4 linked regions of the Arabidopsis thaliana genome follow. The protein of the gene in region 1 interacts with the protein of each later gene in a pairwise test. Each region holds a gene or a part of one and is shown in the gene's direction. Other genes may lie near its edges.

Region 1 (5,092 bases):
ACTTTATGCTTGGCCTCTCGTCTGGTTCAGGGCGCAAACAGCGGGAAGCTAGATGGATAAGTTCTGTTCTATCCTCATCAGAGAATTGACCATCCAGAGCTGAATCCATTAGCACCAAATAGTTTTTACCACGGAACAGATCAAGTGCCTGAAATGACAGATAAGCTAAAAATCAATGAAACTGCTAAAGATACATTATGTATATACACATTTTGCTTTGTGAGAAGAAAGTTACATGGTTTGGTGGAATATGTCTGCCGCTCATAAGATCCAGTAACAAGGTTCCGAAGCTAAATGTGACACTCTCCGGTATCACAGTACCTAACAATAAAAGTAAAAGAAAAACATCTTTGAGATTTCAGCTGATGAAGTTTTCTCTCAAGAAAATTAAACATAAAACACATACCTAGACGTAAATATTCAGGAGGAGCAAATGCCAAGTTGGTACTATAGCTCTTTCCCTCTCGGCTACACTTCATGAGACCAAAACAAGACAGCCTAGGATTCCCAACCTGTTCCATCACTTTTATAAATAACTTATGATAACATCAAACCGCGTATGAAGTTTCTTACCTTGTCAAACAATATTCTGTAGGTGTTAAGATCGTGATACAAATCTATTCCCCAATCATTACAGTACTCCAAGGCTGTTGCAGTATGTAACGCAACTCTCAACCTCATTTCCCACTTCATTGGTCTTTTCTCCCCTGAAAAACCATTTTAGAGTAAAAACAACTTAGACACAATAATGAAACTCTAAAGTAAAGTTTAAGGCCAAAAGAGATCAAGAACTTGAAATGTTTGAGTCTCACAGTGAAAGAGATGCTTAGCAAGTGTTTCATTAGGCATGTACTCAGCAACAAGCAACCTCTCGTGACCTTCTGAGCAACAACCGATCAAATTGGCCATATGCTCACTCCTACATCTCCCTACAGCTTGTGCTTCCTCCTGAATAACAAATATGCCATATTCAAGAAATTTTCCTCTGCAACAGATCAAGCATAGAACCGAATTGAATCTTTACTAAGTCAAACAGACTTGAAATTTGCCTCCTCTGCAACAAATCAGAATCCAGAACATTGCAACATTCAAGAGAAGTATCACGGAGTTAGTAACCAATAAAGTCAAATCAGATGAATAAGCGATCACTAGTCAAATCTTATACAAAACCAAACAGAGAAGAATCAATAAGTATTGATGGGTAAAGGACACGAACGATGAATTCTAAAGAATCAGGCCATGAAAGCCGTTGAAACCGCTTGACGGCGATCTTTCTTCCGTCGTTGAGCTGGCCTTTGTAGACGATGTTAGGAACCCTCTCGTTGTGCTCCGACACGATGTTGTCGGCGGAGAATCCGTCAGTTGCGACTCTCAACTGTTCCAAGCTGAACTCCAGGAAATTAGGACAAGTACTTCCTTCATCTTCTTCTTTATTATCTGCAGCCAAAACTATTAGGTTAGTTCTCTCGATCATCGTCTTCTTCAGAATCTAATTAACGCATAGGAGGAGTGGCTGGCGAATTCGTTGGATTTTACCTAGATCGTCGATGACGGTGATGGTGGATGTTATCGACGGAGAAGACGATCGACGCCAACGTTTGAAACAAATGCAGCCCATCGCCGGCGACAGTAGTTTCTCCGGTGGAGAAAAACTTTTCAAGTGCTTGGTTAAAAACTCCCGCCTGCAGGGAGAAAATAAATTATTATTTTTTTCTTTTTTGCCTAGCGAATATTGTTGGAAAGTTTTACGGAGAAAGTGGTAAAATAGACCCAAAAATATCATTTATTTATATATCACATAATTAAATAGTTGATGACCAATATATACTTTTTTTTTTTTTGAAAAGATCAACCTTTATACTATTATAAGGATAAAATGTCGACATGATCTATGTATTAATTTAAAGAAAATATTGTTTGCTTGTTCCATTTAAATTACTCGGTATTAGATTAATTTTGAGCATAAACATTACAGGTTTTTATTTTGGTAAATAATCATTAGACTGTTGAGTTTGGTCTTTACTTTAGCCTCAATTTTAAAGTCTATATTCAATGGATTTTGCTTACATACATTTCATTCACGTTTAAACCGAAATTAAAATATCTCATTTAAGTTGTAACCAAAAAAAAAAAAAACAGAAAAATTCTCATTAAAATTAATTTTTGCTAGTTACCGCAGCTTTTCGAGACTGGGTGTGTAATATCCATCACACTAACCTTTTTTTTTTTAATCCATCCATACGTTTAACTACATTTAAGCAAATATCGCTATCAAATCGTTTTGGTATATTTCGCTCATTACTGGCAAAATTCACTCTACAAAAAAAGTCTAGTTTGTAATGGGACGCTCGTTTTTAGGTGACTTATATAAAAATAAATAAATAGATTAAAAAACAAATAAAATCAGTATAGGCCTAAATAAAAGTTAGCTTACGGACCATTTATGATGAAACTTGGGCCCTAATGCAAAGCCCATTAATTTTATCTTTGGAGTCTGAAGTCTCTCCTCTCTGTGCTTTCACATAATCACATTGCATGATTGATCAAATACTCGATTTTCCGTGAAATCTCTTTGAATATTTCGATTCCTTGTTACCATGGCGCTTCATGGGTCTGGAGTTTTTTGTAAAGTAAGCTATAATTCTTCTCTTTGAGATTTACTTCCTTGATTCTTCAGCTCTAATCTATACTTAAATGTTTATCATACGTTTCTCGTAAGTAATCTCGAAATTTAGTCGATTTTCAATAAGAGCCCATTGATATTGGATGATTTATGGTTCATATACAGAGTTCTAATCTTGTCTGGTGTGAGAATTCTTACGGATTAGTAGGTATTGTACTAAGATTAAACCCTAGAAGAAATTCGATCAGAAAGTGTTTGAATTTCAACACTGAGATGTTCAATATCCGAATTTGTTGCTACTCCACTTGATGCAAATGGTTATGTGATTCTATTGTTGTGCTAATATGGCCTTGAATCGTTTGCTCCCTGATAGGTTTCAAACATGGTAGAGATCACTTCTCCGTTTGGTGGTTCCATGAGGCTGCTTCACTTGCCTAAATCTTATCCGATTCACTGCAACATGGTTTCAGCTAGCAATACATTTGGGTCAGCTCATCTCAAGCTGCAAAACAAAGAACCGTGTGAGTCTACTTGATTTTAGTTCGAGCATCTTATCTAGTAGAAGATCTGGTTTTGGATAAGACCGGTTTCTTTAGACTTGGTTCTGATTAGTGTTCTGGTAACATTTGAAGCAGGCTCCCGTTTAAGGCCTTGTCGAGTCAAACGCGAAGAAAATAACCAAACTGCGGATGTTGAAAGCATTTCAATGGATGAGAACACGTTGAAGCAAGATCTCGAGACTGCGGTCCAGGAAGAGAATTATGTGGAGGCAGCTAAAATCCGTGATAAACTAAAAGAGCTTCAAGAAGACAACAAAGCCTCTGTTTTATCAGCCAATTCTCGGTTCTACCAATCTTTCAGAAACGGGGATTTAGCTGCGATGCAATCACTATGGTCAAAATCAGGAAACCCGTGCTGTGTACATCCAGGGGCCAAAGGCATAACTGGTTATGATTACGTGATGGAAAGCTGGGAGCTTGTGTGGATGAACTATGAGTTTCCGTTACTGATTGAGCTGAAAGATGTCGAGGTTCATGTCCGAGGAGAAGTAGGTTATGTAACGTGTATGGAGTTTGTGAAGACGAAAGGGAGTAGTAGTTGGGGAGCTCAGTTTGTGTCGAATGTGTTTGAACGGATCGATGGACAATGGTTTATATGCATTCACCATGCTTCTCCTGTTGATATTTGATCAAAGAATCGAAGAAACGATACACATTTTCAAAACGTTTTATTTTTATATGCGTTTGGAGGTTGCGGTGGGATACATTGGTGGTTTGCTTAAGGGTGATGAAGGACTGTTTTTTATTTCTGAGGTTGGCGATTGGGAATGAAAACGCCACACAAACGAGAAGAGGCATAAGTTGTGACGTTTGTACTAGAAGAGGCACAAAGGATCATTTTATTATAACCAGAGCCTTGTAGATCTGGCAAATCATGTAGACAATGAAAAATGAGAAGAAAAATAAACTCTTTTTATTAGAACCAAGACCTCATGAATCTTGGTCACTCACAAAGTAAAACATAGGAAAAACACATTGAAACAGAAATAGCTTAAAGCTCATCCTTCTTGAGCGCGGATGGACGAACACCTTGACTGAGGAAATCCTTGTAATACTTGCCGGATTCTTTCTCGTAACGTGTGAGGTTATTTTTGAAATCAACGTAGTAGAGTCCAAATCTGTTTTTGTAACCATCTTGCCACTCGAAGTTATCCAACAATGACCATACAAAGTATCCTGTAACATTCACTTTGTCGATGCTGCAGATATTACACAAATGTTTTTATTAGATTCTTCACTACAATTGTTAGTATATCAGATGAAAAGGAAATAGGACATACCAAACAGCTTCTTGCATACTCAAAAGATGCCTCTGAAGATAATATTTCCTGTTATGATCAGCGGTACCAACAGCAACAGAATCTGAGGCCCCTAGTTCTTCTCCATATCCTAAAGAAGAACATCAACATCAATATATTTAGTTCTAAGATAAAATCAACCAAATAATAGTTGACAGTAACAATAGAATCTCTAGTTACCGTTTTCCATGATCATAATTTCCGGATTTGCGTATTTGTCCTTAATGTACTTCAACAGACTTCTAAAACCTCTCGAGTAAACGTTCAATGCAGCGGTCAAAGGCTGAAAATAAAACAGAGGTGAGAATGTTGCATCATAGACAAATGTAGCACATAAAAATTTCAGATTGCTATTAAATTTATACCTTGCTACCAATGGCGTAATTTTGCGCATTCTTAGCTGAAAAGAAGAGATAGGTTTCGATTAGTACCAAAAACAAACATTTTCCCTTTGATTTGTTGCCATTGGTTTTCTTGGTTCGGTTTCAAGTAAGGGCAAAACAAACTTACACTCCCATGTAATAAGAGAATCTTGCATCCATCTTGGTTTTGAAGGATCAGGTTTCTCCAAATGGTTTGAAAACACTGAAGTATAGTAGTTGAGCCCAACG
Region 2 (6,265 bases), on another chromosome or scaffold:
CTTTAAATACTGATGAGGAGGAGAGAGAATCTGATGGCAGTGAAGTAACGGGAAGTGCAACAGTTATGAGTTCTGGCCATTCATCTCCCTCCAGTTTTCCGGTATGCCATGTTGTTCCTAATGGAAAAGCAATGCATTTTGATTTTCATATAACATTGTATCTCAGCTGTCCAGGAAATTTGTCCATCATTGCAGGATGGGGTGGATGATTCTTTTAACGTTAAAATCCGAAAAGCCACGTCAGAGGCTCACAGTTCAAAACAAGAAGCTTTTGCAGAGACTCTTAGGCGTCAGAAAGCCGAAAAAAACGCACTTGATGCAATCAGAAGGGTGAGTTTCCTTACAAAAATAATTTAGTTGGCACTGTTAAAACTTTTTTGGAAATGATTGCTAGATGTTCTAGCTGGAGATATATACTATACTGGAACCGCTAGTGTATCACTTGGAGAGATCCCTAGGCTTAATAGTGGTGCTTCTAGTTACACCAATAACAGCTAAAATATTATAGTATACTGATATTATAGGTAATTATTATAGGCTAAACAATCAGAAAGTGCCTATTCTGAGGAATTGAAGCGAAGGAAAGATACGGAGATAGCAGTAGCGAAAGAGAAAGAGAGATTTATAACAATAAAAAACGAGCAAGAGGTGATCATGGAAGAACTTCAAAGTGCAATGGCTCAGAAAGCGATGCTTGAGAGCCAGATAGCAAAATCTGATGGTACAATGGAAAAGCTAAACCAGAAGCTTGATATAGCTGTGAAGTTGTTGCAAAAGTTGAGGGATGAACGAGAGGAGTTGCAGACAGAACGTGACAGAGCACTCAGAGAAGCTGAGGAGTTAAGGAGTCACGCAGAAACCTCAACCCTACAGTTGCCTCAGTACTTCACGGATTTCTCATTCTCCGAGATTGAGGAAGCAACTAATCACTTTGATTCGACCCTGAAGATTGGGGAAGGTGGATATGGAAGCATCTACGTTGGTTTACTGCGTCATACTCAGGTGGCTATAAAAATGTTGAATCCTAACAGTTCGCAAGGCCCTGTAGAATATCAACAGGAGGTATTTTCTTGACATATTATTAGTGAAATTTCTTGTTTAGTTTCATCATCATTGTTTACTGGTTTATTGTGCACAAACTGCTGCCTCTACGAAAAAGGGGACTTTGAAACACAGTTCTACTGTAGTTTTGATTTTATAGTGTTCGCTGTGGAGGAGCTTTGACTTATTCTTGCGGCATTGCAGGTTGATGTCCTAAGTAAAATGAGGCATCCAAATATCATTACGCTAATTGGAGCATGTCCAGAGGGGTGGAGTCTTGTCTATGAGTATCTTCCGGGTGGAAGCCTTGAAGACAGGCTTACTTGCAAAGACAACTCTCCACCCTTGTCGTGGCAAAATCGTGTGCGCATTGCCACTGAGATATGTGCAGCACTTGTCTTTCTTCATTCTAATAAAGCTCATAGCTTAGTACATGGTGATTTGAAGCCGGCAAATATCCTACTCGATTCCAATCTCGTTAGCAAGTTAAGTGACTTTGGGACCTGCTCACTACTTCATCCTAACGGAAGCAAAAGTGTGAGAACTGACGTTACAGGCACAGTTGCCTATTTGGATCCAGAAGCTTCCAGTAGTGGAGAGCTAACTCCTAAGTCAGATGTTTACTCGTTTGGGATTATCTTATTGCGCTTGTTGACCGGGAGACCTGCCTTACGGATATCAAATGAAGTGAAATATGCCCTCGATAATGGAACATTGAACGACCTCTTGGACCCTTTAGCAGGGGACTGGCCCTTTGTTCAGGCTGAGCAGCTTGCTCGCTTAGCATTGAGATGCTGCGAGACTGTCAGCGAGAATCGTCCAGATCTTGGAACTGAAGTGTGGAGGGTACTTGAACCTATGAGGGCTTCTAGTGGAGGATCTTCATCTTTCCATCTTGGCCGTAACGAGCACCGGATAGCCCCTCCATACTTCATTTGCCCCATTTTCCAGGTAACTAATCTGTATATTTGAGTATGGATTTCCAGTATTATTATCAATCTGAGAAGACTTCGATCACAAAGTCATTAAAATTTGCTTATCTGAGGTCTCAAACCGTTATGTTGCAGTCTAATGGTACTCAACCCGTTCTTCCTCTGCTTTGTTTTCAAATATTTCAGGAAGTCATGCAGGATCCACACGTGGCTGCAGACGGTTTCACATACGAAGCAGAGGCTATAAGAGCGTGGCTGGACAGTGAGCATGATACTTCACCAATGACCAATGTCAAGCTTTCTCACACCAGCCTAATAGCTAACCATGCTCTTCGTTCTGCGATTCAAGAGTGGCTTCAACATCATTTGTGAAAATAAAATCCTTCAAACCCTCAATCCCTGTTCTCTTATGAAAAAACGTTTTTGCCTTTTCTGCGGGAGGCAACAGAGTAAGTGAGTAAGATTAGTGTTTTCAGTCTTCCTTATACATATACATACGATCTAATCATGGATAGCAGCATATTTGTTTACTTTTTCAAGCATAGTGTAAGTCCTCCATATCAGTCATATATGAAAAGAAGAAGCTGGTGAGATTTGTATGTGGATATGTATATATATATATATATATATATATATATATATATGTTCTGTATGAAAAAAAAAGTTATATGCTTATTCGGTTTGTGTGAGAAGAACTGCCACTATTTTGTTCTTCCATTATGTTCGGCTCTCTTAAGAACAAAGATTAGCCTCTAATTATTGGACATGATCTCACTGATGATGCCTTTGCTTAGCTAAAATTAGGATGAGTCTTACATTTTTAGTCAAGACTATCGTGTAAGACTTGTTTTCCACCTGGAAGAAGTTACCTTGGATTGCCTATAGTGATTTTTAATGAACTCTTAAAATTCTTGTGATTAATCTTACTTAATTAGCAGTGGGGTCAGGTCGTTTTGGCGGCTAGTGGCATAACTGTATAAAAATTCAGGATTGCACTGAGGTAAGCCAACCTAACGCAGCCTTTAAAGACACCAACCTGGAAAATGCTGAGAGTATTCTTCAGGATTTTCTCAAAAGTCTTGTGAAATTCGTGTATTTGTGTCAATATGTCGACATTTCTCTTCATACACAGATACTGTCGCTTTTGATTCCTGGTTTGGCTTGTTGAAAGTCAAAAAGCCTTCATTATTTTAATACATGATTCAGCTTCTGCGTTAAGGCTAGGTTTCGTCATTGGTACCGTGGTTGACTTCGTGTGCATGTTATAACATAAGAAAATGTTCTTGCTTGTTGATTGCTCCCTCTGTTAGATAAGTCATCTCTTTTCTCGTATTGCAAATTTTAAGTTTGTTCTTGTTTATTCTCTTGAGTGAATTAGAGGTATGTTTTGAGTGTTCTCATATGGAGTGTGTTGGAGATAGGAGCTTCGATCCAAGCAAAGGGGAAAAGTGTTGGCTTCATGAGGCTTCGATGCAGCCTTAAACGCTAAAATCCAGGCCAAGCAAGATGGAGATAGAGAGAGATGATGGGCAAATCAGGTTCGCAGCAGCTGCTGATGGATGAGAAGATATATGTTGCAGTGGGGAGTGACTTGGGGAACAAGTCCACTCTTGTTTGGGCGATACAGAACACTGGAGGCAAGGAGTTCTGTATCGTCCACGTTCACCAGCCACTCTACAGAAAAGAAAAGGAAAAGACACAAAAGATCCTGGACAAATACCTACAAAAATGCAGGCAAATGCAGGTATGTTTTTGTTACTTCTATTGCGAATAAGTGATTTGATGATACAAGAGATAAAGAGAGCCGATTGTGATATTCTAGGTCTGTGCTGAGATGATACACATTAAAATGGAGTCGGTAGAGAAAGGGATCATCCAATTGATCTCAGAGCGCAATGTCAAGAAGCTCGTCATGGGAGCTGCGTCAGACACACGCTATTCAATGTACAAAGCACACCGGCATAACTAAATAGTTTTGGATTTTCATCTTCTCATAGTTCTTGTTATTTCACCGATGGACTCATCATTAATCTTAATTTGTAGGAGGATGGCAGATCTGTTGTCCACGAAAGCCATTTACATTCGTCAAGAAGCGCCTGCTACTTGTTGTATATGGTTTACTTGCAAAGGATACCTGGTATATAAAAGGTCTACCCCTAGTCCCTGTAATCTCTGTACAACTGTAAATACTACTTCAGAAGTTTTTTTTAAAATGATATTTGTGTTTTGTCACACTCTTGTGAGTTTTAACAGGAACTGAGATTGTGAGAACAATCACATGTCACAAGCTCTAATATATCTGGTGATGGTATAATGCAGGGAATCTATCATGGGCAACACCTCTCTAGAGTATGCATCTACAAGTTCTGGTCAAGATTCAGTCCGTTCACGAGGATCTGTTATACCTTCGCGCCAATTCACGATATCTAGAGGAAATGGAAATGTGTATCAGTTAGCTGTCTTTGAAGCTGAGAAATCGAAAAAAGAAGCAAGCTTGGAGGCTTTCAAGCATCAAGAAGTTGTAAAAGAGAAAAATGAAGCAATCAAAAGGGTAACATCTTCTTGGAATCTCACATAAGCTATTGCCATTGCCCATTGGGAATGTTGTCCTTTTTTCCTGATGATAACGAAGTTTTCTGACCAAATGTAGGGTAAAGAATGGGAAAGTGCCTATTTGGAGGAGTTGAAACAAAGGAAAGAAACAGAGATGGAGCTGAAGAAAGTGAGAGAAAAACTCGAAAAGATGAGGTATATATCTGAGAACCGAATAACCGAGTCTTATATGTTGGTACAAAAGCTGCAAGACAAGTATAACTTGGCAACGAAAGTGTTGAGAAAAGCCAAGGAAGAACGAGATTTATTGATTAAAGGACGCGACATAGCAATTATAGAAGTAGAGGAGCTAAGAAAAGAGGTCTCTCGATCTGATGAGCACCGTGAAGCTCCTCAGTACTTCATCTGTCCCATTTCACTGGTAAATAAAAAAGTCAATATGGAGAGAAACAGAAGATTGTATCGAATCAGTTCACAAATTAAAACCTTTGTTTTCAATGTTTCAGGAAGTGATGAAGGATCCACAACTAGCAGCAGATGGATTTACATATGAAGCAGAAGCCATAAGTACATGGCTTCAGGGAGGACATGAGACTTCCCCAATGACAAACACGAAGCTTCATCATACAAAGTTAGTTCCAAATCTTGCTCTTCGATCTGCAATCCAGGAATGGCTTCACGCTTCATCCTCTTTTAGAAAGTGAACAGAAATAAAATCACACTAAATATATATTCTTAAGCATTTGCTTCAACGAACACGTCTACTTGTACTTTATATTAAACCCATGTAATGAAAAACCTTTTCTTCATTTTTCTCTCCATTTTCTATTTATTTTCTTAGTAATACAATCTGACCATATGTATTACGTTGAAAACAGCCAATTAACGAAATAAAATATGAAAAGATACTAAATCCCATTTGTTAATTGACTTTATCTTCAGTGTGTGAGACGTAACTGCTTGTGAACTTCTTCTTTTCTCATCTTGTGTCAGTGTGTGGCTTGTGAACATGTCTTCATTAGTTTCTTTCGAGTTTACATAACACAAAGTGAAACAAGAAACTGGATTCTATATTGGATCCACCAACTAAAATACAAGAAGAGAATAACTAATGAAGTTTGCATAGTAACTAGAGAGGCATTGGAGGGATCCAGTAAGGGAAGAGTGGTGTTGTGGAGAAGGCTGAGGGAGACTTGGGACGAAAGGAACGTGGTTTTCTAGTGGCGATATCGTAAACACCAAAGCCATCGCCTGCAAAATAGATGGAGTTAGGGTTTAAGCCAGGGAATGAGCTTGCCTTGACACAGAAGGGCTCACTTCTGCCGAGGAATATGCAGAGATCTCCAATGTCCTCAGTGTAACACATGTTCATATCTTCCTCCTCTCTAAAGACCATGAAATGCTTTGTTCCACGACACAAGAATGTCATCCTCTCGCCCGGTTTGTAGTTCTGAGCGTACCACTTGACTAGGAAACGCTGTCCTGAGGGAGACTCAACGAGGTGTACAGTCGGCGGGGAACATGAGTCCAAGAGCTCCCACTCGGACTGTGTCACCTCAGGAAGGTTGCAAAACCGCAACTCAAATCCTCGAAGCAAGAATCCCAGAAACCCAACAAATGGCCTCCAACACTAGGAGTGTAGAACTTTTTATCTCTCTTTGAATACATAACCTTTGACTGATCAAAAAAGTGGGATTCGGTTTTAAAGCCTAAACCCGAGTAGTTGTCAGTTTTGCCAC
Region 3 (5,819 bases), on another chromosome or scaffold:
AAGTTAGACTCAAATTTCTCACAGACATCTCAGTCCAGCTTGGCCCAATATCATCAAATCAATGAAATTTCAGTCCAGCTGAGCAGATATAGTTGGAAATTTATTAAATTAATGACAGAGAGTTTACAAAATTTAGACCCAAATGAAAGAAGAAGATAGCTAGTATACAAAATTAGTTAATAAATTAAATAAATATGTGAAAACACCCTTAGCTCACTGGCTAAAGGGTTAAAGGTTTGTCTAATTTGTCGTTGTAAATGTTTTAAGTGCTAAGTTTCCAACATTCCACGTATTATATAACATAAGGATTAGTCTTAGTCAGGACTTTAGTTTGGTATCTTCGATTATAAATTTTTTTTTTTTTGTCTTGCATAACTCTTAGCTTACGCAATGCAAGTCAATCATCTAAATATCCAATAATTGTTTACTGTATTTTCTTTTATTATTTATTATTTATTTGTAAAGTACTGTATTATTTTTCTGACGTTGACCAAAAACCACACAAAAAAATGCTTTTAACAAAGTAATTTTTTATTTTTATTTTAAATACTTTAAACAAAGAATTGTGAATAAGACTGTAGGAATTAGCAACTAGCTTTAAAGAAAGAAGAGTTATGGTTTTATTAGCTTTTCTTTATAACAAACTGAAAACGAAATCACAACTATCGACAATGACTAATTGATGAGAAGAAAAGAAACAAAAGAAAACAAATTTCTTCAGACTTTGTATTCTACCAAACAAGAAATCTAAGCCAAAACATTCAAAGCGATTTCTCAAGCAAAACTAGAAGATGAAGGTAAGTATTATATGGTTTATGTATGTGTTTTTATGGCTTCTTTGATTGACGTTACAACATATCATTTTTTTAGCAAAAGATCTTGATAAGAGTGACTATGACCGATGACAAAACCCGAGCAAAAGCAATGACAAAAGCAGTTCAGTTTAAAGGTAAGAAGACCTTTCCACAAAAAAGATTACCAAACTCTGTTGGATCTAATGGTTTTATAGGCGTGTCAGCCGTGGAAATAAAAGGCGATCACAGGAACCAGATAGAGGTAACCGGCGTTGAAGTTGATATGATCCCTCTTATCCAAATACTCAGAAAGAAGGTAGCGTTCGCAGAGCTTGTGAGCGTGACCAAAGTTGAACCACCAAAGAAAGAAGACGAGAAGAAAGGAGGGGACGGAAAGGGTGCAGAGGGAAAAGGCGGTGACCAAAAAGGTGGCGATAAGAAAGGGCCAGATGACAAGGAACCTCCGGAGCCAAAACCTGTGCCGTGTTATCCATGGCCTCTGCAGGGATACGGTGTACCTTCCTCCTTTCCTCATCAAGGATACGGTGTGCCTTCCACCTTTCCCCAGGGAGACGGTGTACCTTCCTCGTTTCCATACCCGTGCCATCCGGCACATCCCTACAATGATATAGGGGAACCCGTTTACAATCACGAACCCAATTGCAAAATCATGTGAAATGAGTTTTACAGAGGAAGATTGATAGAGAGAGCATGATGACCAATGTTTTTTTTTTTATTGTAAAGAACTAAAGAAGCACTATGTTTACTATTTAGTCATATGAATAAAGCTCTGAGGCCACCAAATCAATTTACTGCTATCTCAACATGCTCTTTTAATCTTTATGCATTTCCTAGTAAATATTTGTATGAGCACAGCAAAATCACTCACTATTCGAAAGATTTTGCACACTGTTCAAATGACCCGACCCAATCTTGGCCCAGAATCTTCTCACTCACTATTCGGATTTTAGTTTAGGTATAATCGTAATCTTTGGAATTTTGAATATGATATCTTGACTTGTCATTGTGCAATAATGTTCTGACTCCTCCAGAATAATCAGCATTTTGAATACTGTGAAATATTACTAATTTAATATTAAAATATTACCACTAGATTTCCGAAAACACCCCCATTACTCTTGCTCCGCAACGGTAAACGTAACGTACTCAAAGGGGTGTTAACGTAATTTCAACTGAAAAAAACTAACGGTTCCCGAGAACCCATCACATATTAAGAAAGAAAATAAAAAAGAGATCTTTTTCGCTTTTCCACAATCACAAGACAACCACAAAACTCTCACTCCAAAACTCTCAATTTTGCCTTCCTTTGATCGAATACTACAATGGCGTCTGTATCTGCAATTGGAGTTCTCAAGGTACCTCCTGCTTCGACTTCCAATTCCACCGGAAAAGCCACGGAGGCGGTTCCCACGAGGACTCTTTCTTTCTCCTCCTCTGTTACTTCATCCGACGACAAGATTTCACTCAAATCCACCGTCTCCCGTCTTTGTAAATCTGTTGTTCGCAGGAATCCGATCATCGTCTCTCCCAAAGCCGTCTCAGATTCTCAAAACTCTCAAACTTGTCTCGATCCTGATGCTAGCAGCGTAAGCATCATCTATCTTCTTCTTCTTATCTTTGTTGTTTAAGCTTTGAGGAATGTAGTTGAGATCAAATTGGAACTGTTAATTGTTGTCAATTTGCAGAGTGTTTTGGGGATAATCTTAGGAGGTGGAGCTGGAACTCGTCTTTATCCACTTACGAAGAAGAGAGCGAAACCAGCTGTGCCTCTTGGTGCTAACTATAGGCTTATTGATATTCCTGTGAGCAACTGTTTGAATAGCAACATATCCAAGATCTATGTTCTTACTCAGTTCAATTCCGCGTCTTTGAATCGTCATCTTTCACGAGCTTATGCTAGTAACATGGGAGGTTATAAGAATGAAGGATTCGTTGAAGTTCTCGCTGCTCAACAGAGTCCTGAAAACCCCAACTGGTTCCAGGGGACAGCTGATGCCGTCAGGCAATACTTGTGGTTGTTCGAGGAGCATAATGTCTTGGAGTATCTCATTCTTGCTGGGGATCATTTGTATAGAATGGACTATGAGAAGTTTATTCAAGCACATAGGGAGACTGATGCTGATATCACAGTAGCTGCATTACCAATGGACGAGCAACGAGCCACTGCTTTTGGGCTGATGAAGATTGATGAGGAAGGACGTATTATTGAATTTGCTGAAAAACCAAAAGGGGAGCACCTAAAGGCCATGAAGGTACTATAAACTTTACGCTACTTCTCTGCTTCATCATGCGGCCTTGTAAATTAAAAAATCTCGATTTCTTTGCTCCTAGGTTGACACAACAATTCTAGGTCTTGATGATCAGAGAGCCAAGGAGATGCCTTTCATTGCTAGTATGGGTATTTATGTTGTAAGCAGAGATGTAATGCTAGACTTACTACGGAATCAGTTTCCTGGAGCTAATGACTTTGGAAGTGAAGTCATTCCCGGTGCCACTTCCCTTGGACTGAGGGTGAGTGTTTATATTCATGTTTACAACATCTAGTTTGTATTCTGATGCTCAAGCAAGTCTCTGTTACTCTATGGTTTGCTTTCGGATTCAACAGCTTCTTGTAGCTGATTATGCTATGCAGAAGGCAAAACCTGCTAACTTTGATCATGGGCACTGCAGGTGCAAGCTTACCTATATGATGGTTACTGGGAAGACATTGGTACTATAGAGGCATTTTATAACGCTAATCTTGGAATCACCAAGAAACCAGTTCCTGATTTTAGGTACAGTAACCGCATTACTACACTCTCTATTGTATCTGAATGATTACTTAACTTATCTGAATTCTTGATGCAGTTTCTATGACCGTTCTGCTCCGATCTACACACAGCCGCGTTATTTACCACCGTCTAAGATGCTTGATGCTGATGTTACTGACAGTGTCATCGGAGAGGGCTGTGTTATCAAGGTACAATCAAATCGCTTCTGTTCGATATATGCTTTACGGACATACGAATTCACCAATGTCTTATGAATTTTGGGCACAGAACTGCAAAATTCATCACTCTGTGGTTGGACTCCGTTCCTGCATATCAGAAGGTGCTATTATTGAAGATTCGTTATTAATGGGAGCTGATTATTACGAGGTAAAAATCTGTCTTGCAATCAATCTTCTTGCTAAGTAATGTCAACCTTTTGATGATGGTGGTCTTCTTTGATGATTGTTTGCCTAGACTGCTACGGAAAAGAGCCTCTTAAGCGCGAAAGGAAGTGTACCCATAGGTATTGGGAAAAACTCGCACATCAAAAGGGCCATCATCGACAAAAACGCACGTATCGGTGACAATGTCAAGGTTAGTGTTTATATTTGGAACACACACAGGATGTTTAGCTTTGTTCATACTTGCTCTGCTCTTAAAATGTGTTTGTTGTGGACCTTGGCACAGATCATAAACAGCGACAACGTGCAAGAGGCAGCGAGAGAGACTGATGGATATTTCATAAAGAGCGGAATTGTAACGGTTATCAAAGACGCCTTAATCCCAACCGGCACTGTCATCTGAAGTACACATAATGCTCCTTTGTTTATTTCTTCATCTTTCTAATGCCCTATCAATAAGTTTTCTTTATGGCTTTTTAAGCCCCAATAAATCTACTACTAGTTGTAATGCTGCTTACGAAAGAGATTACGAAATCATGTTTTCACAATACCATTGTCTCTTTTGAGAAAAAAGAAGACCCTATGAATTTCACTAAATTTATCTTTTGTAGCTTATTATCAATAAAATTAAGTTTCTTCAAGTTTATTATAATAATAAGTAGTTCAACATTATTCGTTTTAAAGATGTTAAAACTATAAAATTAATTTTAAATAGATACATATATATATATATATATATATATATATATATATATATATATATATATCTTTTTCGAAAAAACTAACAAATGTTAGTTTTTTTTTTCTGTTAAAGTTAATTTATAAACCTACAAAGTATTATAATTAAATGTGATTTTACAAAAGAATACATGTTAAAAAAAATATTAATATACATGAATAACACACATTAGAGAAATGTTTGCATCCAAATGATAAAAAGAAAGAAAGTAAAGTGCACTCTAGACAAGACCACCAATATTTTAAAAGGGCCATAAAGAACGGCTTGTGTGGTTTATTTATGCCAATGATTGGCATTTCTATTCATAAAACAACTACTTTTTGGAATCATTCAAAAAATGGCAAGTTTTCGTTTGAGTGATAGTTGAGATGCATTGAGCTTGGAGGGAGCTGAAAAGATCCAGAAGAGTCTTTTTCCAACTCCTCCTCCTAAGATTGAGTCTGATTTTAGTGAGTCGGTTGACATCAGAGATTACTCTCAGTTTGGGAAGATTTTTTTGAAGAATGTTCTACGGTGATATATGAGTTTGACGTCTTCTTCTCTGATCACTCTCTGAGCTTTGATTCCTCTATGATAATCATGACTCCTTTATTTCAATTTCCTTTTCACCTTGTTTTAAAGTTCAAATTGAATTCATCATTTTCTCTACTTTTCAACATATTTCTTCAAAACTCTTAGAGAGTAAAATTCCTGAGAGAAAGATGGGAAGAACCACCAGGGTTTTCAAGACCTTCCTTGACAAACATACATGAAAGTATCACCTCATGGAGACTTGTAACAAAAGGCAATTTTATTTGAGATTTGACCCCCCTAACATTAGTTTTTTATTTATTTATTACATATAAGGTTAACTACAATGATTATTAGATGTTTTGGTACAAAATTTCCAAGTTGACCCCCATGACATACCACATTGTTACAACGTTAATAAAGTTGAGAAAAACACAGTTCAAAAAGATGTTAAGATCCTCTCATATTTTCTTTGCTAGATAAAAAATTTTCTGATTCGTCCATGTACTCTTTTATATCATCAGAAGCATTAAGCCCAGTCAAGGTTTGGATTCGGTTATGAATAATGACCAATACGTAAAAAAAAATTCATTTAAATGCTTAC
Region 4 (7,313 bases), on another chromosome or scaffold:
ACACAAATGTGGTCCATTTCTTTTTGTTCATGTGGTCCAATTTTGGTATATACTATATAGTCTATAGTACCTTTACATACATTTTAGTCGGACGAGTGTTTGTCTATGCTAAAAAATTGCTAACCGAACACCCTCATATATATATGCTCGTAGAATTATATATTCTCTTTTTAAAATTTTTTTATATAATATATTTCTTCCCCTTCACTTATAAGTTGTACCCTACCAAGAATAGCTTACTATAGAAAATTTCTACCTTAAATCCCAAATTTCCAACACAAGCTTCGAATTAATATCTATTCTGAGTTATTAAAGTATAGTCCAATTAATTATAAAATTTTATTTTTTTACATCATCTGTATTTGTTTAGCAGAAAGTACATTCCTAAGACATATATATTGTGTCAGTCTAGACTAAGTTAGTTCAGCCTAATGAAAAAATCAGGCCACAGTCACGCAGTTCTGATAGAAACAGTAACCGTAACAGTAGTTGGGAGAACTGGCACCGGAACCAAATTTGGAGTAACCCATCGAACTTGTCGATCAGAATTTGAGCTGTTGGAGAGAAGAAATTCCGATGAAATGTCAGGAGCTACCAATCTTCCAAACCATTGACAACTCGACATAAGGAATCACTAAAATTTATGTGTTTATGATCAATTAAGGTACGAACATAATTAAGAGCAACATAAACAAATTTACGTCGGAAGGTAAAAGAAAATAATCAGTTACGATGATTCATTATATCAGTTACCAATTCTTACAAAATTTGATATTTCATTCTTATTTTGTTAGTGTACAAAACTAGTTTATGTTTGGTATCAGACTATCAGTTATCAATTCATTGATCAGTTACCAAATCTTAAAATAGATTTTCCACTTTTCAGACCAATATATGTTATGTATATATCGATATCACACAGAGTCAGACATATAATAGTCATGGGACCGACATGAATGTTGTTTTGTTAACTTCTTATCGGAACACGTTCCCTATTCAATAACCACTCAAAAAGTTGAACCTTCGGAAGAAATTATATTTACTTATTTAGTCATAAAATAGCTTAGTGTGATGTGTTAATCCTACAAAAATTATAGTAGTGAGTTATTAATTGACAGAAAAGGTTTTATTTTCGTAACTATTTTCTTACATTGACTACAATAGTAGTACATTACCAATTTACCAGTTACCAGTTAATCATTAAAGTATCTTTATATTTCATTTAAAAACTCCTTACATTGTATTTAATAAATCCATCTACCCAAATCCAATGGGTCTAAAGGAGTAAAAGAAAATGGTAGTCTAGAGACTTTTCCTACATTGAGAGTATCATACGTTTGAGATTCTCTTCCCATAAATAGGCCACTTTTTCCCGGTCAAAAGAAAAATTATAGTATATCAAGTGAATAAGTTATGGAATATAGGCATTTTTTTTACAACAATATATGCATTTTGCATATTGGTTGGTCCAAAAAGATCAACGCCACGATCTATAGAACATGCTTCATTTGATGTTAAGAGTTTTGTTGGTTCAGCAGCTAAATTTCAGCCTAGCTTCCACTTTGTAGGTTCATCAATTTCCAGAGCAAAGAGAAGATCGATACTTAACTTGAAATTGAAGAAAAGGACATCATTTTAGTTTTTTTCCTTCCAATTTAGCAGGATAAAATATTGTAAAATGTTCCGTGTTATTTTTGTGTTTGCAATTATAAAATTACTATTTTTCCTAAGGTTTTATTACAATTGGGTCAAATTCTTTCGTGTACTTATTAAAACACACTATATTTAATTTTATCTAATATATATATCTTTGAAATTGTAAGCACAATGTTTCTCCCTGTTTAAAGGAAAAACAGAAAGTCACCTTAAATAAAATTAAAATTTCTCCGTGCATTTAACCAGAAAAAAACTTGTCTCCATGCAAAAAGAAAAATTAAAAAACCAAAATACAATTTGCATTTTGAAAGAATATTTAAACCCTATATATAGTCGTTATAGTGTTACTGTAGAAAGTATTAAGGAGTTAAAGATTATTCTCCTTTAATATCTATTGAGTTCTTTGGTCTGATTTCTTAACCTTAAAAACAATAACAAAAGTCCGTACGGTACGGAAACAATGTAAGCTAAAGGGAGGCACAAAACTAACGAACGAGTTACAAGCACAGTAAAAAGTAGCCAATGAGGACTCGACAACACATCAAATGGTTTATTTCCCAAACAGCCCTTAAAACTTTATCTCCACTCTGGTCTCTTCTTCCACTCGTATGTAGCTTTTGTGTTTTTTTTTTCTTTCTTTTTTTTCCACAAATATCATCGTCTATGTATTCACGTCACATACCGTATTTATACCACATCACTTACGTCACTGTAGACTCACGCGAAACCCAACAAAAGTCCATAAAAGAAAAAATAAAAAAAATAAAATAGCTATTATCACATTCATCAACACAAAAGATACCCAGAGAGACATAAGAAAGAAAGAGAGAGAGAGATACTTTGGTCATTTCAGGGTTGTCGTTTCTCTCTCTTGTTCTTGAGATTTTGAAGAGAGAGAGATATGGGAAGAGGTAGGGTTCAGCTGAAGAGGATAGAGAACAAGATCAATAGGCAAGTTACTTTCTCAAAGAGAAGGTCTGGTTTGCTCAAGAAAGCTCATGAGATCTCTGTTCTCTGCGATGCTGAGGTTGCTCTCATCGTCTTCTCTTCCAAAGGCAAACTCTTCGAATATTCCACCGACTCTTGGTAAATGTTTTTTTAATGTTTTATATTATATATCACATCGATCATATCTATCTGTTTTCTTGATCTTTAACCAGATTTTGTTTTTTATTCGTACTTCTCGATCTCGATCGTCGTCAGCCTTGGAAATAAATCCAAATCTCGTATCTTGGTCTTTCATATCTTCTCTAGATTTGTTTGTTCCCTAAGAACTGGCTCGAGAAATTAGGGTTTTTTTTTGGGATTTTACGTACGGACGCATGAAAAAGCTGTTTATGTTTATTTCTAAATTTCCTTTCCTTTACCCAATTGAAAATAGCATAAAATTATGAAACTTAGTACACACACTCACGATTTGATTGCCCCTTTTGATGTATGGAAGCACGTGCACTCAGACACGTACGAAGATATGTATGTAGATAACATGTATAATAATACTTGAGTATACCATATATTTGAAAGAAAGGTTGATTTGAAACGATGAAATAAAGCATTTATAACAAGGATGTGCTATAATCCCCAATGGACAATAACATAACGTTAAACATATATGTAAGTTCGTACTGATATTTTAAATGCGTTTTGTGAAAGTGTATATATATGTTTTTATGTACGATCATAGAGATTTATAGTGATCGTTTGCTTTGATAACCGAGTCAGGAGGGAAACTCGAATCTTTAAATTGAATTTGTACGTATGTTTTCTATGATGTTTTGTGGACTCACCAAAACCAGGTTCTATATACATTTTTGTGTTATATTCTTATTTTTAGCTATTCTTTGTCGGTATACCAAATACGGTAAACTTTTGGCTTGCAGTTTGTAACAAATGTTACACATTATAACATGTGAAATTATAATAATTTTTATGGATCAAATTAATCGAGTGTTGACCTTTTTTTTCTTTCTTAAATCTAGCATGGAGAGGATACTTGAACGCTATGATCGCTATTTATATTCAGACAAACAACTTGTTGGCCGAGACGTTTCACAAAGTGTAAGTTTTAGATATGTCTCTTTTAGCTACTTAATGTTGTATTTTTGTTGTAGTAACTAATGTTTATCATACACCAATGTTGTAGGAAAATTGGGTTCTAGAACATGCTAAGCTCAAGGCAAGAGTTGAGGTACTTGAGAAGAACAAAAGGTATATATATGTTATAATTTCAAATTTACAAATGATCGCACATATATATTTCAAATTTATATATGTGCACAATGTCAAATTAAGATCGTGCTAATCAAATAGCCAAGTAAAACATATATTTACAAGAGTATTTGTCCCAAGTTAACTAAACTTTTGGGTCGCACATACAAACTTCTAATGTATTCAACTTTTTTCCTTTACTTAAGAGGGAATGAATGTGTATTGATCGTGACTTCGTTATTGCTCATATAAGTTTATGACACTATACGGTTATGGGGGAATTGTGTCTTGGATCCTCATAAAGTTCATTTTCTGTTGTCAATTTGATCATAAAAACTAAGGCATATCAATGGTTTCTACCTTAGCAACAACCACGGTTTGCTTATATAAGCAGTAGTCACAAAATACGAAAATGTGTAGGAATTTTATGGGGGAAGATCTTGATTCGTTGAGCTTGAAGGAGCTCCAAAGCTTGGAGCATCAGCTCGATGCAGCTATCAAGAGCATTAGGTCAAGAAAGGTAATAGGACAACATGGATACATAGTTACATACGTCTACATATGTATGTAAAGCTTTCGATCGAGAAGTTGAGTTTGGCAAAGAATTCAGAATTTTAAATTTGAGATGTTATTAATTAACTAATGTCTGATGTTCGCAGAACCAAGCTATGTTCGAATCCATATCTGCGCTCCAGAAGAAGGTAAAGTTTCAACTTTTTGTTTAGATAGATAATATATATAACAACCGAAAAGTATTGTTTTCATATATATATATAACTATGTTTGCAACCAATATCAAATCACAATTAGGTACATCGTAAAAAAATCATTTTGAGGCATAATTCTACTTGTTTCTTTTAAATCATCAGGATAAAGCCTTGCAAGATCACAACAATTCGCTTCTCAAAAAGGTAAGTACAACTTATTTTTGATATAAGTGGTTATATATGAGTTTAAAATTGATAGAAGTTGAAATAATTAACTACAGTATGTCATCTCACCATAATTTTTTAAAAAGATTAGGTTTAACAATGTTTTATATATTATAAAAGTATTTAAAAAATATGTGACTTTACTACATATATAATTCTCTAATTTTTGTAATTAATCCTATTACATAAACAAAATATAATAGCAAAAAACCGGTACTAATATATAATGGAGACCAAATATATATTTATATTAATAATGTTTCCATAATATCTGAGTGAAGAATTTAAGTAGATGTAAGATAAAAAAAATTAGAAATGGTTTTTAGTTTTTTTAGCATTAGAAATGGTCATTATCTAATCCCAAAAAATGGTCATTATTTAATCCTCTATTGATAACCCTTCTAATAAAAATCAATGTTGAGATCATGCAGCTATCTAGACGTAAACTAGTTATACATATATCAAAAGAAAAAAAAATGTTTAGATCGATTTTAGTTTACCTTAGTTCTTGATCTGTATATATATGAAGTTGATATAAATTCTTCGTAAGACTCAAAGTGGTAATGTTTTCTAATATTTGTATAATTTGTTTCTGACAACTCAGATATTTTATTTATAGAATTTTTGCAACTGTAGATTTATGCTGGTATATATTATTACTAACTAATGGCAAAACAATAATTTTAGATTAAGGAGAGGGAGAAGAAAACGGGTCAGCAAGAAGGACAATTAGTCCAATGCTCCAACTCTTCTTCAGTTCTTCTGCCTCAATACTGCGTAACCTCCTCCAGGTCTCGTCTTTCTCTCTCTCAGTACTAGTCCAAATTAGATTAAGAGGTTGATTAATTGTGCCATGTGCATATATATAATTCAAATTTGTACATGTATATCTATGAATGATTCTGATTAATTTAATTTTATGGGCAGAGATGGCTTTGTGGAGAGAGTTGGGGGAGAGAACGGTGGTGCATCGTCGTTGACGGAACCAAACTCTCTGCTTCCGGCTTGGATGTTACGTCCTACCACTACGAACGAGTAGAACTATCTCACTCTTTATAATATAATGATAATATAATTAATGTTTAATATTTTCATAACATTCAGCATTTTTTTGGTGACTTATACTCATTATTAATACCGATATGTTTTAGCTAGTCATATTATATGTATGATGGAACTCCGTTGTCGAGACGTATGTACGTAAGCTATCATTAGATTCACTGCGTCTTAAGAACAAAGATTCATATCTTGGTAATGATTTCTCATGAATAATTAATGTAACTTTTACTTTTTAAACTGTGGTGAACGCAATATATCAATATTCTATCATTTGTAAATGCGATCACTATGTTTTTTATGACTGATATTCAAAATTGCTCAAATTTAGTCTTCTTGTAAATGTGCTCATTATTTGCGCTTTAAAGTTGTCGCAGCAAGGTACCGCATGGCACAAATGATTATTTGATTTTTGAAAAATGGAAAAAGGTTTGTATAAATACGATAATTGTTCAAAATATTCAAAAATATTCTAAAAGTGATTCTATATTTTTTTTATAAACAACTGAATATGGTATATGCATGTGTTTTAAAAATTTATAAAATATTCAGTGAGAAAACAAAGTATGTGATTCTATGATGGTATATAATCCAAAAATAATTAACAACTGAATATGATGTATTATCATCCAAAAATGTCAATGAGCAAAATTGTTCTTTTACTATTCAAAATCCAAACACAAGGAATACAAAGCTATTACGTATACAATTCAGGAATGTCCTATCACAATATAGATACAACCACACTTTGTTCCTACCCTTAAAAGACTTTAGAACACATGTTCACGACTTAAGTAATATTGTATGGAGGAGAAGAGACTTTTGACTCTTTCAAAATCTGGTTCATTGACTAAGAGAAAGAACAAGAAATGTCTAAGTCTTCTCAACCCCTTTCCTACGTTCAATAGTAACGAACAAATCTACATTATGCAAACACACACACACACACAAACAAACACACACACACTCGCATGTAATCTCAAGTTCTAGCAGAATGGATTTACTTTCTTGTTTGATAATCCATCTTTTACGTTTACAATCAGAAATATCTAAAGACAAAACACACACAACCACAATGTAGTCTATTTGTTCCTACCCTTAAAAGTCTCTGTTGGCTTTTCAAAACCTGGTCCATTGAGTCATTGACTCAGAGAGTTAGAACTAAAAAGTCTTTATATTTACACATATACGCAGATTTAATCTCTACATCTTTGCTTCAGTAAAATGGGTTCTCTTTCTTGTTCAATAATCCATCTGGTTCTTATTCTGCAACTACAAACATTTTTCGTTTTTTCTCAAAACATCAGAAACGGCTCTGTTCCTGTCGGAGAATCTCTCACCGCTTCAGAGTCCCAACAAATCTCTAGTTCATGGCGTTCACCTTCCGGTGACTTTGCTTTCGGGTTCCGCAAGATCCAACCAAACGACGGTTTCACTCTCTCCATTTGGTTCGACAAGATT

The links.
Region 2: the proteins of AT3G09250 (region 1) and AT2G45920 interact in a two-hybrid assay, tested with the Arabidopsis thaliana proteins (one large-scale study listed by BioGRID).
Region 3: the proteins of AT3G09250 (region 1) and ADG1 interact in a two-hybrid assay, tested with the Arabidopsis thaliana proteins (one large-scale study listed by BioGRID).
Region 4: the proteins of AT3G09250 (region 1) and AGL8 interact in a two-hybrid assay, tested with the Arabidopsis thaliana proteins (one large-scale study listed by BioGRID).

Annotation. Positions count from the first base shown.
Region 1 is NC_003074.8:2,836,483-2,841,574, forward strand, and holds AT3G09250 (Nuclear transport factor 2 (NTF2) family protein), read left to right. Parts: upstream 1-2,517; 5' UTR 2,518-2,597; coding exon of another isoform or gene 2,598-2,630; intron 2,631-2,771; exon of another isoform or gene 2,772-2,996; coding exon of another isoform or gene 2,997-3,005; coding exon 3,006-3,144; intron 3,145-3,258; coding exon 3,259-3,772; coding exon of another isoform or gene 3,773-3,812; exon of another isoform or gene 3,813-3,873; coding exon 3,874-3,936; exon of another isoform or gene 3,937-4,078; coding exon 4,079-4,103; 3' UTR 4,104-4,132; downstream 4,133-5,092. Other genes in the region: BSK9 (kinase with tetratricopeptide repeat domain-containing protein), read right to left, coding at 1-148, 236-321, 407-512, 574-707, 813-948, 1,217-1,437, 1,537-1,618; PYK10 (Glycosyl hydrolase superfamily protein), read right to left, coding at 4,175-4,382, 4,464-4,572, 4,662-4,764, 4,847-4,881, 4,992-5,092.
Region 2 is NC_003071.7:18,895,868-18,902,132, forward strand, and holds AT2G45920 (U-box domain-containing protein), read left to right. Parts: upstream 1-2,761; 5' UTR 2,762-3,495; coding exon 3,496-3,717; intron 3,718-3,795; coding exon 3,796-3,917; intron 3,918-4,016; coding exon 4,017-4,121; intron 4,122-4,292; coding exon 4,293-4,524; intron 4,525-4,623; coding exon 4,624-4,947; coding exon of another isoform or gene 4,948-5,032; coding exon 5,033-5,230; 3' UTR 5,231-5,436; downstream 5,437-6,265. Other genes in the region: AT2G45910 (U-box domain-containing protein kinase family protein), read left to right, coding at 1-101, 196-330, 538-1,062, 1,246-1,992, 2,160-2,345; AT2G45930 (uncharacterized protein), read right to left, coding at 6,078-6,265. UniProt on the Arabidopsis thaliana protein: Functions as an E3 ubiquitin ligase.
Region 3 is NC_003076.8:19,568,189-19,574,007, forward strand, and holds ADG1 (ADP glucose pyrophosphorylase 1), read left to right. Parts: upstream 1-2,049; 5' UTR 2,050-2,137; coding exon 2,138-2,401; intron 2,402-2,500; coding exon 2,501-3,067; intron 3,068-3,146; coding exon 3,147-3,326; intron 3,327-3,485; coding exon 3,486-3,589; intron 3,590-3,662; coding exon 3,663-3,774; intron 3,775-3,853; coding exon 3,854-3,952; intron 3,953-4,039; coding exon 4,040-4,159; intron 4,160-4,252; coding exon 4,253-4,369; 3' UTR 4,370-4,616; downstream 4,617-5,819. Other genes in the region: AT5G48290 (Heavy metal transport/detoxification superfamily protein), read left to right, coding at 792-797, 871-1,470. UniProt on the Arabidopsis thaliana protein: This protein plays a role in synthesis of starch. It catalyzes the synthesis of the activated glycosyl donor, ADP-glucose from Glc-1-P and ATP.
Region 4 is NC_003076.8:24,501,258-24,508,570, reverse strand, and holds AGL8 (AGAMOUS-like 8), read left to right. Parts: upstream 1-2,301; 5' UTR 2,302-2,557; coding exon 2,558-2,742; intron 2,743-3,254; exon of another isoform or gene 3,255-3,270; intron 3,271-3,635; coding exon 3,636-3,714; intron 3,715-3,799; coding exon 3,800-3,864; intron 3,865-4,284; coding exon 4,285-4,384; intron 4,385-4,523; coding exon 4,524-4,565; intron 4,566-4,733; coding exon 4,734-4,775; intron 4,776-5,483; coding exon 5,484-5,587; intron 5,588-5,723; coding exon 5,724-5,835; 3' UTR 5,836-6,137; downstream 6,138-7,313. UniProt on the Arabidopsis thaliana protein: Probable transcription factor that promotes early floral meristem identity in synergy with APETALA1 and CAULIFLOWER. Is required subsequently for the transition of an inflorescence meristem into a floral meristem.